Cricetulus griseus: one gene and its partners. The protein of the gene in region 3 interacts with the protein of the main gene of each other region in a biochemical or structural test. Links are inferred from orthologs where the notes say so. Each region holds a gene or a part of one and is shown on either strand. Other genes may lie near its edges.

Evidence for each region. The genes of interacting proteins can lie anywhere in the genome.
Region 1: of the proteins of Pparg (region 3) and Cdk5, one has a biochemical effect on the other in vitro, tested with the Homo sapiens proteins (3 studies listed by BioGRID, with this or other methods). The link is inferred for Cricetulus griseus from reciprocal best matches to the Homo sapiens genes PPARG and CDK5.
Region 2: the proteins of Pparg (region 3) and Nr0b1 form a complex in vitro, tested with the Homo sapiens proteins (2 studies listed by BioGRID, with this or other methods). The link is inferred for Cricetulus griseus from reciprocal best matches to the Homo sapiens genes PPARG and NR0B1.

What each region holds. Positions count from the first base shown.
Region 1 is NC_048601.1:98,098,593-98,102,864, reverse strand, and holds the start of Cdk5 (cyclin-dependent-like kinase 5), read right to left. Parts: upstream 2,838-4,272; 5' UTR 2,745-2,837; coding exon 2,708-2,744; intron 2,131-2,707; coding exon 2,042-2,130; intron 1,964-2,041; coding exon 1,896-1,963; intron 1,797-1,895; coding exon 1,736-1,796; intron 1,629-1,735; coding exon 1,572-1,628; intron 202-1,571; coding exon 106-201; intron 1-105. UniProt on the Homo sapiens protein: Proline-directed serine/threonine-protein kinase essential for neuronal cell cycle arrest and differentiation and may be involved in apoptotic cell death in neuronal diseases by triggering abortive cell cycle re-entry. Interacts with D1 and D3-type G1 cyclins.
Region 2 is NC_048604.1:82,193,690-82,197,986, forward strand, and holds the start of Nr0b1 (nuclear receptor subfamily 0 group B member 1), read right to left. Parts: upstream 2,838-4,297; coding exon 1,658-2,837; intron 1-1,657. UniProt on the Homo sapiens protein: Nuclear receptor that lacks a DNA-binding domain and acts as a corepressor that inhibits the transcriptional activity of other nuclear receptors through heterodimeric interactions.
Region 3 is NC_048601.1:29,399,391-29,403,737, reverse strand, and holds the start of Pparg (peroxisome proliferator-activated receptor gamma), read left to right. Parts: upstream 1-1,468; 5' UTR 1,469-1,485; coding exon 1,486-1,705; intron 1,706-2,903; coding exon 2,904-3,073; intron 3,074-4,347. UniProt on the Homo sapiens protein: Nuclear receptor that binds peroxisome proliferators such as hypolipidemic drugs and fatty acids.

The DNA.
Region 1 (4,272 bases), about 69 Mb from region 3:
ACTTTTTAAGGTAGGCTCCGGCTTCCTTCTCCCCATCCTACTCACTATGCTCCCCATCCCAGGCTCCAGCTTCTGCAACCTCACTCCCTGTTCCCGGAGAAATACCCTGTTTATGAGCAGGTTCTGGGGCTTCAGGTCCCTATGCAGCACGTTGCGGCTGTGACAGAATCCCAGGCCTTTCAGCAGCTGGAAGAGGAATGACTGGGAGAGGCAGGGAAGAGGGAGTCAGACCCACTGTGTCCTATAGCCCATATGACTTGCAGCAAGTCAAGAAGTCTATCCAATTACTCTGTAATTTAGTGCGTGTGTGTGTGTGTGTGTGTGTGTGTGTGTGTGTGTGTGTGTGTGTCTGTGGAAGCCAAAAGAAGGGGTAGGATCTCCTGGAACAGAAGTTACAGGTAGTTGTGAGCCACCCAATATGAATACTGGGAACAGAGTCTTCTGCAAGAGCAGCAAGTACTCTTAACAAATGAACTATCTTTTCAGCCTCTCATCGAGTTACTTGTGAGACTCTGCTTTGCATGCACTAGGTAGTAGAGGTACAACAGTAACCAAGTTTTCCTTGCTACTCACACCTTTTTTGTTTTTTGTTTTTTGTTTTTCGAGACAGGGTTTCTCTGTGGCTTTGGAGGCTGTCTTGGAACTAGCTCTTGTAGACCAGGCTGGTCTCGAACTCACAGAGATCCGCCTGCCTCTGCCTCCCGAGTGCTGGGATTAAAGGCGTGCGCCACCACTGCCCGGCCTCACACCTTTCTTAACTGATGGTTGGTGGGCCCTCCTGCATCTCCAGTCCATGCTGGTTTTCCCTACATGGCTGCAATTTAGCACACACACCTTGACCATCAACACAAATACAAAGCTATAGTATTACTCAGGACCTGATTCCCTTGGAACCTGGGCCACGGTACTTGGTCTTGGGCCTAGAAAAGTGCCTGGTAAAAAGCAAAACCTACAGCATATATTTGTTTTGTTTGCCTTTCTCTCTCTCTTGTTCTCGCTCACTCTCTCTCTGTCAAGATTTACTTAATTTTTAAATTATGTATGCATGTGTGTAGGGGGGGTATGTGCCCTTGGAGGCCAAAAGAAGGTACTGGATCCCCTGGATCTGGAGTTACAAGTGGTTGTGAGCCACTTTGTGTGGTTGCTGGGAACTGAACTCATCATCTGCAAGAGTAATTAATATGAGTTAACTGCTGAGCCATCACTCTAATCTTTTTGTTTTGTTTTTGCCCTGATGTTTGAAGCAAGGCCCTGCTATGCAGCTCAGGCTGGTTTTGAGATCCTCCTGCCTCAGACTTCCGAGTGCTAAAGTTAGAAGTATTTGCCACTACGCAGGGCTGGTATTTGTTGAACCCATGAGATATTTCTTATGTGCATATGATATCACTGAAATCAGACACTGTGCAAGTCAAAGGAGACCGAATAAAAATGTTCACTAAGACTAGTAGCCCTTGGAAGGCAGAAACAGATTTTCTCTGGTACTCCAGGAGCTCAACCTGTTACTCAAGGAGAGCTGATGGATATCCTAGGCACACCCTAACTCCATAAATCCCAGACACTTCTCTCCTCACCTTCACAATTTCAGGGTCCAGGTCACCATTGCAGCTGTCAAAATATTTCTTCAGGTCCTAAATATAGATGAGGGTGTGGAGCAGAGAACAGAGTTCAGCTTTAGTCTGGACTCCTATACCCTCCCATGAGCACTAACCTCTCCCACCACCCAGCCCTCTTTCACCTGATCACAGAACTCAAAAACCAACGTCAGCTTCTTGTCACTATGCAGGACATCATGAAGCCTAGAGAGAATGGAAGACTCAGACAGATCCCCAAGCTGGCCTCTAGCATCCCAATACAGTCCAGTCTGATGGGGGTCTGTCTCCTCCAAGAGACCTCACCTGACAATGTTTTTGTGCTTCAGTTCCTTGAGTAGACATATCTCCCGGAGGGCTGAACTTGGCACGCCCTACAATGTGCAAGGGGACAGTAGTCACAGCCCACCCCAGACAGGCCCTGCACCTCTCCCCCCATGCCTCTGTCTTACCTCATCGTCATCATCCAGCCTCACACGCTTCAGAGCCACAATCTCATGGGTTTCCCGGTTTTTGGCCTTGAACACAGTTCCATAGGTGCCTAGGGGAAGGTCGGGGGTGAGGGAGAGGATCCTCCTCAACATCTTAGTGTGCAAGGGCAAGTTTTCAGGTGAAGGCTAGGTATGGAGTAGTTCTGTGAGTGAGGATGCTAAGGTGGAGGTCCCTAAACCGGTTCAAGGCTCCAGCTGCAGGGAGAATCTGCCATAAGCTCGGGGGGTGGGGGTGGGGGTGGGTCGGGAAGTATCGAGGAGTCATCTAGGAGAGCGGTAAAGGCCTGCAAAAAAAATGTTAAGGTTGGGAGTTCTGCAGGGAATTGAAGCAGGGGTTCCAGGTGAGGTTTGCAAGTGATGCTGAGGCTAGGGGTGAAAAATGCAGGAAGTGCCGCGGCTAGGAAAAAACGGTCCACAGAGACTGCTAAAGCTAGGAGCAAGAGTTTGCGGCAGATGCTAACACAGGGAGAAGGGCTGGTGTCTGCACCGAGTGTTGGACTCAGCGGCCAGGGCTTTTGCCCAGTGCTGCGGTCGGAGCCTGCAGGTATAGCTGACGGTAAGGGAGCTGGGACTGCAAGCAGGGTCTTCAGAAAAGGACCTTTCAGGAACATCTCGTGGTTCCATTACCTTCCCCAATCTTCTCCAGTTTCTCGTATTTCTGCATCGCAGCGGCCGCGGGGACCCCTGCGGGCCCTCGGTTCTAAGACTCCCGGCCCCGGCGTTGCAGAGGAGGTGGTACCCACAGCTCCAACCCCGCCCACCCACTCCCCCACGCACAGGCTTCTGGGACTTGTAGTTCCGGGGTGGCCATGTTCCCCAAGAACGCCCGTAGCGGAGGGCACGAGGACTACAAAGTCCAACAGGCCGCTGTCGGACTCTATGCAGCGATCAACTCCCGGGACTCGTTTCCACCGCGGAGGCAAACCTAAAACTTCAATTCCCAGGAAGCATCGCGTGTCCGCTTGTCGGGCGTCTCCGCCAAGGCGCGGAGGCTCCCAGTGTGCCCCGCTCTTGTTATTATTCCTTCTCTGTGTTCACAGCCTTTCAGAAAAGGGCCGCTCAGGGACTACGCGTTCCAGAATACAGCGAGGGTGGGGGCGGCTGCGCCCGCCGAGCCTGGAGCAGGCGCGGGACGGCCTAGATCCCGGGCGCTGCGGGCCCGGCTCTGACCTGGTTGGGTGTGTTGAGTCGGCAGCGACCCGCTGACAGCTTCAGCGCCGGTGCCCCCCGTGTCTCCCTAGGCCACCTGGCGACCCCGGGACCGAGGGGGGACGGTTGTGAGCGGTGTCCCACTGCTGGTGACCGCACAGGGGCCAGCTGAGCACAGGGCCGGGCATCGAGGCAGGTGTGCCCGTTAGAGGCCGGTGTGACACACGCCAGACACCCCTCGGTTACGGTCTCCAAAGCCGCGGACTCCGGCGGGGGCCCCGCTCTGACATGCCGAGGCCAGCAGACTGCAGCCTGGGTGCCCCCCAGATCCCAGTCTTGAGAGCAGGCCCACTGGAGTCAGCCAGGGTGTGGCCCACGAGGACTGGCAGGTCAGTCACTCCCCCGCAGACGAGCCACAGACGCTGCGACAGCGGGAGCAGGCAGCCTTTACCGCACCCCGCAAAGGAGTTGATTATAGATTTTCCTGCACTGCTCTCTAATTGTCTCATGATTGCATTCCTGAGGGCTGGCTGTGAACCGGGCGCAAACGGCCCCGGACAGCGTTCCTCCCTCCCCAGCGCCGGGACCAGGGCAGCGCTAACTATCGGTTAATCGACTTATTAAGTCCGAGTGCTTTTGCATAAACGAGATCGTGGTTCACCCACGAGGCAGACGGAATGAAAGACGCATAAAGTGCATCCCTTATCATCTGAAATAACCGGGAATGAAAGACGCATAAAGTGCATCCCTTATCATCTGAAATAACCGGTGCTTTGGCCGAGAAGGCAGGATGCACGACACGCAGAGGTCTTTAAAGTACAAGCGTCGACTGCGGACACGCAGCCTTCCACTCAGCGCGGAGGTGGCTCTGGCCGAGCGAGGAGGAGTCCTCAACGAGCCGTCCCGTTCTCCGTCGGCTCAGGGTCAGGGTCACCCAGGCCTCCGGTTCCCGTGCCATGCTTCCTCCCAGGCAGACGCCAGGGCTTTCTTGGGGATTGGGGCGGGAGCCCCGCGGAGCCGCCCCGATTCCCCCCGCGAAGCTG
Region 2 (4,297 bases), on a different chromosome or scaffold from region 3:
AAAACATCACAGAGTGTAACATGATTCAAAAGCAACTTCAAAACAGATTTGGTTTAAATGATGATATAACTTTCCTTCCTTTTTCTACAAAATTCAACACATGATTATTTTAAAGGCATCATGCTTTAAAAATAATAATCTTGATAGAAAAGAAACATTCCTATTATAGGCAAATAATAAATCATAAAAAGCAACACAATATGGAAACATTTCTTATCTAGATTATAATTCAGATTACAACAGCCCATGTAGTAACATCCTGCATTCTATTTCTATCCTGATACCAAAGGTTTGATCCCACTGAGAAAGTTTCTCTAGGTCTACACAGACTTGTGGTTTGCCAAAGCTTCATTTTGTGAAGGCACCCATTACATTTCACAACACAGTCCCTGGCCCTCTCCTTAAAGTAACTATTTTTTTCTTTGCAATAAAAATTCTTTTTTATGATACAAACTAAGAGGTTTACTTATGGCTATCTCATTCACACTGTTTTGTTTGGTCCTCCTTTCCAACTCCTCACATCTTCCTGTCCCACTCCCCCCCTACTTTTACCTCTCCACCCCCACAAAACTTCTCTTCAATGTAAAGACAGAAAAAAAGGCAGATGGACTCCACAGTTTACATATCTCCTTATCCTTTACTTATCTCCTTATGTTAAAACCCATTTGTATATCTATATCCAATATAAACGTTGTGTATCTTTGTTATATATAAACATAAAGACAAGGGGATGCAGAAAGGTAATCAGGAAAGAGAGGCCACACATTTTACAGATGTTACATTGTGCACAAATGTGGTTGCATTACTATTTAAAAACACACTTTGGCAAGATAAATTCCCATTGAGAGAGAACTAAAAAAATAGAGGAAGAATGGGAAGAATGAGGGAGGAGATAGAGAGGGTGGAGGAGAGGGAGGGAGAGGGACGGAGAGAGAAAGAGGGAGGGAATGAGGTGTGTGTACACGTGTGTGTGTGTGTGTGTGTGTGTGTGTGTGTGTGTGTGTGTGTGTGTGTTAAGGGAGGCAAAGGATGTGAAACAGGGTCAAGGCAATTGGGAAACTACTGGAAATAGCGACTTCTGAAAGCTGAGACCTTGGTCTCCACTTTGAATCTCAATAGTGCAGGAATAACAATTGGCCGAAAGAATGAGAAAACTGTCAGATGGCCTCAAGAATCACCTGAGCCACTTGTATTTGCAGACTTGCAGAATCTGGACTGGGCTGAACTATTACCTTCAGAGGGGAGGAGCTTGGGAAGACAAATCACCCTGCACCCAACACAAGCTCTTCTTAAAGGGAAATTTGGAAAACAGTAACTTAAGAAGAACTTGTGTGAAAAGAGCAAAAACTTTGTTTTTAAGTTATGCTCTTGGACCTCAGAGACGGCTAAACAAGGAAGAGAGAGCCATGTCCCACGAAGATAATAAAAGTAGAGCTCCAAGTAAAAGGCTTTCTCCTCACCCACCCCATCCAGTACCGAGTTTCTGGCAGAAACTCACCCACTTTGGGATGTGTTCATCATTAGCTTTGCAGAGTCTGTCACGAGGCTTCACGTGGGCTCCAACACACCTACAGCCACTGAAAACTCCTAAGTGCCTGTGTGTAGGGGTGTTGCTTTTGTGACCTAGAGAGGTAATGGAAAAGGCTGCCATGCTTACCTGGGTTAAAGAGCACGGCCCCCTTCAGATAGGCATATTCCTTGGTATCGATGTTCAGACTCCAGCACTTGAGAAAGAAGCTCTTTATGGCTTGGATCGCGGCGGCCGAGGGCAGGTGTCCAGCCTCCGCAGTGGACACCATCTGTGGCTGCTCTTTGGCCAGGGGATCTGCGGGCTCAGCACCCTGGGTCTCCTGCTGCCTGGTGGTGAGCGTCTTCTGCAGTACGCTAGGTTCGGAGATCTCCATCATTTCGATGTGCAGGTGATCCTGGGCCAGCTCAAGCATGAGTAGGGGCGCCCAACAGCTCCGCACCAGCACCAGCTGCTGATCCAGGGGCAGTATCTGGAAACAGGGCAAGTACTTGACAAAGCGCAGTGTCTTCAGCAGGCCAGCCGATGCTGCCTCGCACACCACCTGTGGATTCTTGAGAGTCAACGGACGCTGCACTCCAGAAGAGGCGTCCCACCAGAGGGCCCTAGGCTGCTCTTCCGGAGCCCGGGGCAGTTGATCTGAGCTCCCGGGTGTGCCACAGGCTAAGCTGCTCTGCTGGGGCTGCTCTTCACCGCACACGTAGCTGCGGTACAAGAACGCCATGGCCTGTGCGCTCTGCAGCCCCTCTGGGTCATCCATACTCTCCGTACAGTAAGACAGCTGCCACCATTCGCCTCCGCGACGTGCCTCGGACGCTTCCGGAGACACGTGCGTCTGCTTGGCGCTAGTGAGCAAGCTGTACAAGATGCTGCCCTGCTTCGGGTGCTCTTCTCCGCAGAAGCAACAGCGGTACAGGAGCGAGGCTGCCCGCCTGGCCGGTGTCCCCTCTCTACTCACCAGGGGTTCGGGGCTGCCGCAGGCACAGCCCCAGCACGGGGCTCCGAATCGCGCCCTGGACGCCTGGGTCCCTGAGCCTGACTGCTTGGCGCTAGTGAGCATAGAGTAGAGGATGCTGCCCTGGCGCGGGTGGTTCTCCCCGCAAAGGCAGCAGCGGTACAGGAGGGACGAGGTTTGCCCTCCGGGCAGTCCCTCCTCGTCCCCGATGGACTGAGCACCGCAGGCACAACCCCAGCACTGAACCCCCAAGCGCACCTTGGGCTCTACTGGAGCAGCCGCGTGCTTCTGCTTCGCGCTCATCAGTAAATTGTAGAGGATGCTGCCCTGCAACGGGTGGTCCTCACCCGCCATGGCCCGAGGCTCCTACAGCCCGTTCTGCCCAGTGGCTGCCGCCTGGGACTTATTTATACTGAGCGCGCACGCAAGCGCGTCCGCCTCCTCCGCCAGGACAAGGGCGCAGAGGGGGACGCGCCATTGCGCTTGAATGTGCGCGCTCATGACCTCGGAAGTTCAAAGGGGCAAAGAATCCTTAGAAACTGGAAATCCAAGGGGAACTTCTCAGCGCTGGAGATCGTGGACCCTCTCTTCCTTCCTCATTTTATCCCTCCTTCCCCTACCTGGGAAAGAGGAGAGTAGCGAACCTGGGGAAGCAAGTTAGGGCTCTGTTCCAACTCTTGCTATTGGACTCCGATGTCTAATTTATTCCCTTTATCGGAGGAAGAAGTACTTAAAAGAGAAAATATTCCATTTCTATGGAATCTTTGTAAACTTTTATGGAACGATTACAATTTGTATAACTTGCATTTTGTATAATGTTTGGAGAGTGAGATCTCATTTTAAGACCTTGAAAAGTGTAAACCCATACTAGTAGCTTCAGCATCGCACCAACAGTCTGAAACACCTTCCCTTCAGCTCCAGCCAAACTGCCTGAGTGTGAGTTTCAATGAAATCCATCTCCTGGCTATACATATGCACCCTAAAATTGAAAATCATTGGTGGAAGCAGGCAATAATGCTCAGTTTAATTCAATCAACCACCCACTGTGCCCGGGATGCTTGGATCAAGGAGCTGGGGGGCTGCAAACGTTATGTACTTGTAGCTGAATCTTGGGAACACAATAATCACAAGATTGTTACTGTGAGAACCTTTCATGCTTTTGAGAAGCAGAAAGCTGATAACTGTTCCTGTTCCCAACCATCCTAAGATACTATTGACAAATAGAAGAAAGCCTGAATGCTGGCATTTGTCACGGAGCCTCCTTTCACGTCAGACAGACATGAGACCAGGGGCCTCTTTCTAGTCAACCATGCGACTTGTGTCTTAACTTGATAATTCTTACACCCATTAGCTCCCTCACTTTAAGAGCGTAAGCCTTACTGGTCAGGAGAGGGGATTAGAGCACACCAGTTGGTACGGGACCTCTCTCTCTTCCATTCTCCCTCTTGGTTTTCTGTTCCCCCCCACACACACTCCCCTTTCAGTTATGTAGGGTCACTGAAATGTAAGAAAATCGAAGACACCTTCAATTTCCCCCTTTTCTTTTTGACAACTTCATACATGTACAGAATTTACTGTGATTGTATTCATCCCTATTAGCATCTCTGAGTCACATTCTCCTGCTTATTTCACTTGCCCATTCTTCATCCCAACTAGTGTCTGTCCCTCTTACTTCCTTGTTTTTATTATTTATTTATTTATTTATTTATTTATTTATTTATTCATTCATTTTTGTTTAATGCCTATCTTGTATACAGGTAGCCATAGCTTTTATGTTGCCAAGTGTGCAATGGTTATGCAATGTCCAGAAGAAA
Region 3 (4,347 bases):
CTGGCCATTCTAGCCTAACTGAACTTCAGGCCACAAGAGACCCAATCTCAAAGGTTGTGAAAGGTGTTACTGAGGATGACACCTCCACATGCACAAGCGTATATGTGAGTGGGCATGCATGCATGCATGTATGTGTACACACACACACACACACACACACACACACACACACACACACACACACACAAGAAAACTGCAAATCAGTAACAAAACACCAAAGATCTCAGTCCAAGACAATGCACAAAGGCTATCATAGCTATTTCTAAAAAGAAAACATACAAATGGTCAACAGGTATATGAAAAAAGTATTCAACATCACTAATCCCTGGGGAAAATGCAAATCAAAGCTACAATAATATATACTGTTCCATACCTGTTAGAATGACTGGTACATAAATTGATGAAATTATGTGGAATAACAGAAACCTTTTTGGAGATGTATACTATATACTGTGAAGACATTATAGAACACATGTGGAGATCTCAGAAAAATCAAAATTTCCATGTGATCAGCAGTCCCACTGCTAGACATATGACCAGGGAACTAAAACCACTATGTCAAGATTTTTATGCTCCTGCATACATTATGTCACTATTCGCTATAGCCAAAAGATGAAATCTATGTAAGAATCTAAGACACATAAACAAATAAAAGCAAACAACAAAAAAACCCTCTGTGGTATGTATATACACACATATGCCAAATATACACACATGTATATACATTCACACACATATACATATACTGGAGTATTGTGTGGCCTTTTAAAAGGAAAATTCTGTCCTTTGTAGCAATATAGATGACCCAAAGAAACATTATGCTAAGGGAAATAAGCCAGAAGCAGGAAAGCAAATACCATACATCCTTCCTGGTTGCTGAGGATTGAGCATAAGGGAAATGGGAAGACTGGACAGAGTTTCCATTAGGCCCTGGAGAACTGATAGACAACAAGATGACTACAGTTAGCAATACTGTATCATATAGTTGAAATTTGCTAAGGAAGCAAATCTTATGTTTTCTCAACACAGAGACAATGACAATTCTACAAAGTGATGGGTATGTTAATTAAATTGATGATGACAATTATTTCACAGTGCATACTTATATCAAAACATCGCTATGGTAATCATTTAAATACTTTATCAGCTATATCCTAATAAAAGTGGATGAAATTTGAAGTAAGAGAAATAGCCATTACCAGATCCAGCTGATGACCTGCTGTAAAGGACAATGTGAGCAGAGCTCACATTTAGATGGATTTGTTCCATGTAGCTACACACTGTGGGTGTCTGCTTTACTCAGGTAAAGGCTAACTTCCTTCTCACTGTAAAGCCATGTGGATGGTGCTAGGAAGACATAATGCACTCCTCCCTCCCTGGGTAGTCTGAGTGAACTCAGCTCCCTCTCTATGCATTCTTAGAGGACTGCTTTCTCCTCCAGAACTTGACTCATAGTCTGTTCTTTTGTCCATTTCAGAAATTACCATGGTTGACACAGAGATGCCATTCTGGCCCACCAACTTCGGAATCAGCTCTGTGGACCTCTCTATGATGGATGACCACTCCCATTCCTTTGACATCAAGCCCTTTACCACAGTTGATTTCTCCAGCATTTCTGCTCCACACTATGAAGACATTCCATTCACAAGAGCTGACCCAATGGTTGCTGATTATAAATATGACCTGAAGCTCCAAGAATACCAAAGTATGTTCACTTTTCAAATGGCTAAGAGATACATGAAGACAGCACATGTCTCTTCCCAACCTTTTTTCCCCTTTCCTTCCCTTCCCTCCCTCCTTTCCTTCCTTTCTTGATGCCTTCTTAGGAGCGTGTCTAGCCTGATTACATTGCCAGTTGTATCTTAGGCTTAGTCCATCCTGTAAACTTTGAATTCTTCCAGCTTCTTATTAGTTAATAAATCATAGTTGTAGACCAAATGACTGGTCACCACTAAGTTACTATTTACAGTTATATTTTTTTCTAATCTGTAGTTTGTGACATTTACATTGTACAAATTTACATTTTTAACACTGTAGCTGATTGATAGATCATCATGCCATTAAGTAAATTACCATCAAACATCAGACTTTAAAAAAAAAACAGAACTGAACTGAACTTTTCAAGATAAAGTATCATTTCTGTGATGCTGTTTCCTTGATTTTTATCTTGTGGGTTGATGTGCTGGTTTTCCAGAGTCACCCCTGTGTCACTGGCAATCATTACCTGATAATAAGTAAGAACTTCCTGTAATTTCTAGTTGTTTTCTTTAGATAGATAGTATACGTGGTTGTATTTATCTGTGTGGTTCTGGGTTAAGGCCAAATATGGAAATTCATTAGGCCTGAACTACCAGCAAAGGCAATAGGTTTCTCCTGCTCTCTATCACAGATCACTTTACAAACCACCTTTTGACTCAACTCTGTTGATAACCTGCCACCTCAGGCTGCAATTTTGGCATCTTCTCAGCCATGTTCCTTCTGTTGCTTTTTCAAGGAAGGTTTAAAACTACTTCTAAAGTGCAACATTTCAATGAAACCCATAATAACAGAATGAGTGCCAGATGCAGCCCATCCTTTTGCCAAATAAGCTGCATGGCTTCAAACCCTGAGCAGTGTCTGTAGGGTATGTGGGAGAGAGGGGGCAGACTTAATTCCCTCGATCTTAATTCCCTTCCGGATTTATTTGTGCAGGTGAGGTTCTGGGGTGTTGGGACTTGCCTGAGATGATAAAGTCTTACTTTTTCCTATCTGAGCACCAGTGCATTTTCATGCTCCCCAGCACCTCTCCTCCAAGATAGTAACGTTATGGCATGAAAATATGAAGGCCACCATGGGAAGCCACGGTGCCTTTTTAGGATTGTTTGTCATGAGATAACCATCTTCTCAAATTTCCCAATACACAGGTGCGATCAAAGTAGAACCTGCATCCCCACCTTATTATTCTGAAAAGGCCCAGCTCTACAACAGGCCTCATGAAGAGCCTTCCAACTCTCTCATGGCCATTGAGTGCCGAGTCTGTGGGGACAAAGCATCAGGCTTCCACTATGGAGTTCATGCTTGCGAAGGATGCAAGGTAAAAATAGAATTTAAAAAAATCATCCAAGAATTTTCTGAAATTTTACCTATTCCATTTCCTGTTGCAAACTCACTGTAAAAAAAATTAAGATAAAATAGTAATTTTTTTGGCAGAACTCATTCTTCAAGTAATATAATATTTGAAAAATCTAAGAAAAGCTGATAAAAGTGGGGTTATTCTGCCTCTCCTCCCCTTCTCCAAAATGACTCTTGAGACACTCATCCAAGTGTATCTTGCAGAATTTTTTTTAAAGGACTTGTCCAAGATGTCATAGAAAAACAGTGAGTGGTGAGCCAGCATCAGAACCTAAGTTCCCTGATTTCCCTAGGGTGGTTTTCGCCATGCTATGTAATCTCTTATACGCGTACGATTTGACAGATTATATTTGTGTATCATTTGATCCATAGACTAATGCTATAATATTGAACGTATTTCTACATTGTGGCTATAGAAATTGTGAATCAAAGGCATGGGGTCACCAGAGTGAGGGCTGCCATGGTAGAGCAGGTGCAAGATCGTAGATTTCACCCTTAGGAAAAGCAAAATTATGGATTAGTAAGGTTTGTTCCTACCAAGCCCTAAGCTAGTACTATGTTTCCTTGGCCCCGTGTCAATCTAAGCCTGTTCAATATGCGAAAAGAGATAACTATGCACTTCCTTTGTGAAAGAGTACTTTAGGAAGTTAGTGATATGCTGCCCCAGTTATAAGGAAAATACATGAATAGATTCATGTTTTTATATAGTTTTAAAATAATCTTAACATACTCAGGGATAAAGTAATATTTATCATGTGCCCATAGAATGCCTTGCCTTATAAATACTGGGGGTTTGGTAGTGCATGTCTTTAATACTAGCACTCAGCAGCAGAGGCAGGAGAATTTCTGTGAGTACAAGGCCAGCCTGGTCTCCAAACAAAATAAAACATAAATGAATGAAGTAAGTACTGCTTCACTTGAGCTTTTCCTGGGTAATAAAGACGAAACACACCAGGCAGGCATGTGTTAGTACTTCTGGGTTCCAGATGGACAATAGGCCAAAAAGGGAAACTAGTTTTTATTAAATTCTTACCCCCAGCAGATAGTACGCGCGCGCGTGCGCGCGCACGTGTGTGTGTGTGTGTGTGTGTGTGTGTGTGTGTGTGTGTGTGTGTGTGTGTGTGTTTTGCCAATATTTAACCACATTCTACAAACATTTTCTCAACTGTAAAACAATGAAATTCAACTAGGTGATTTCTATTTTTTTCAGTCCAAAAGCAATCTAATGTGTTCAAA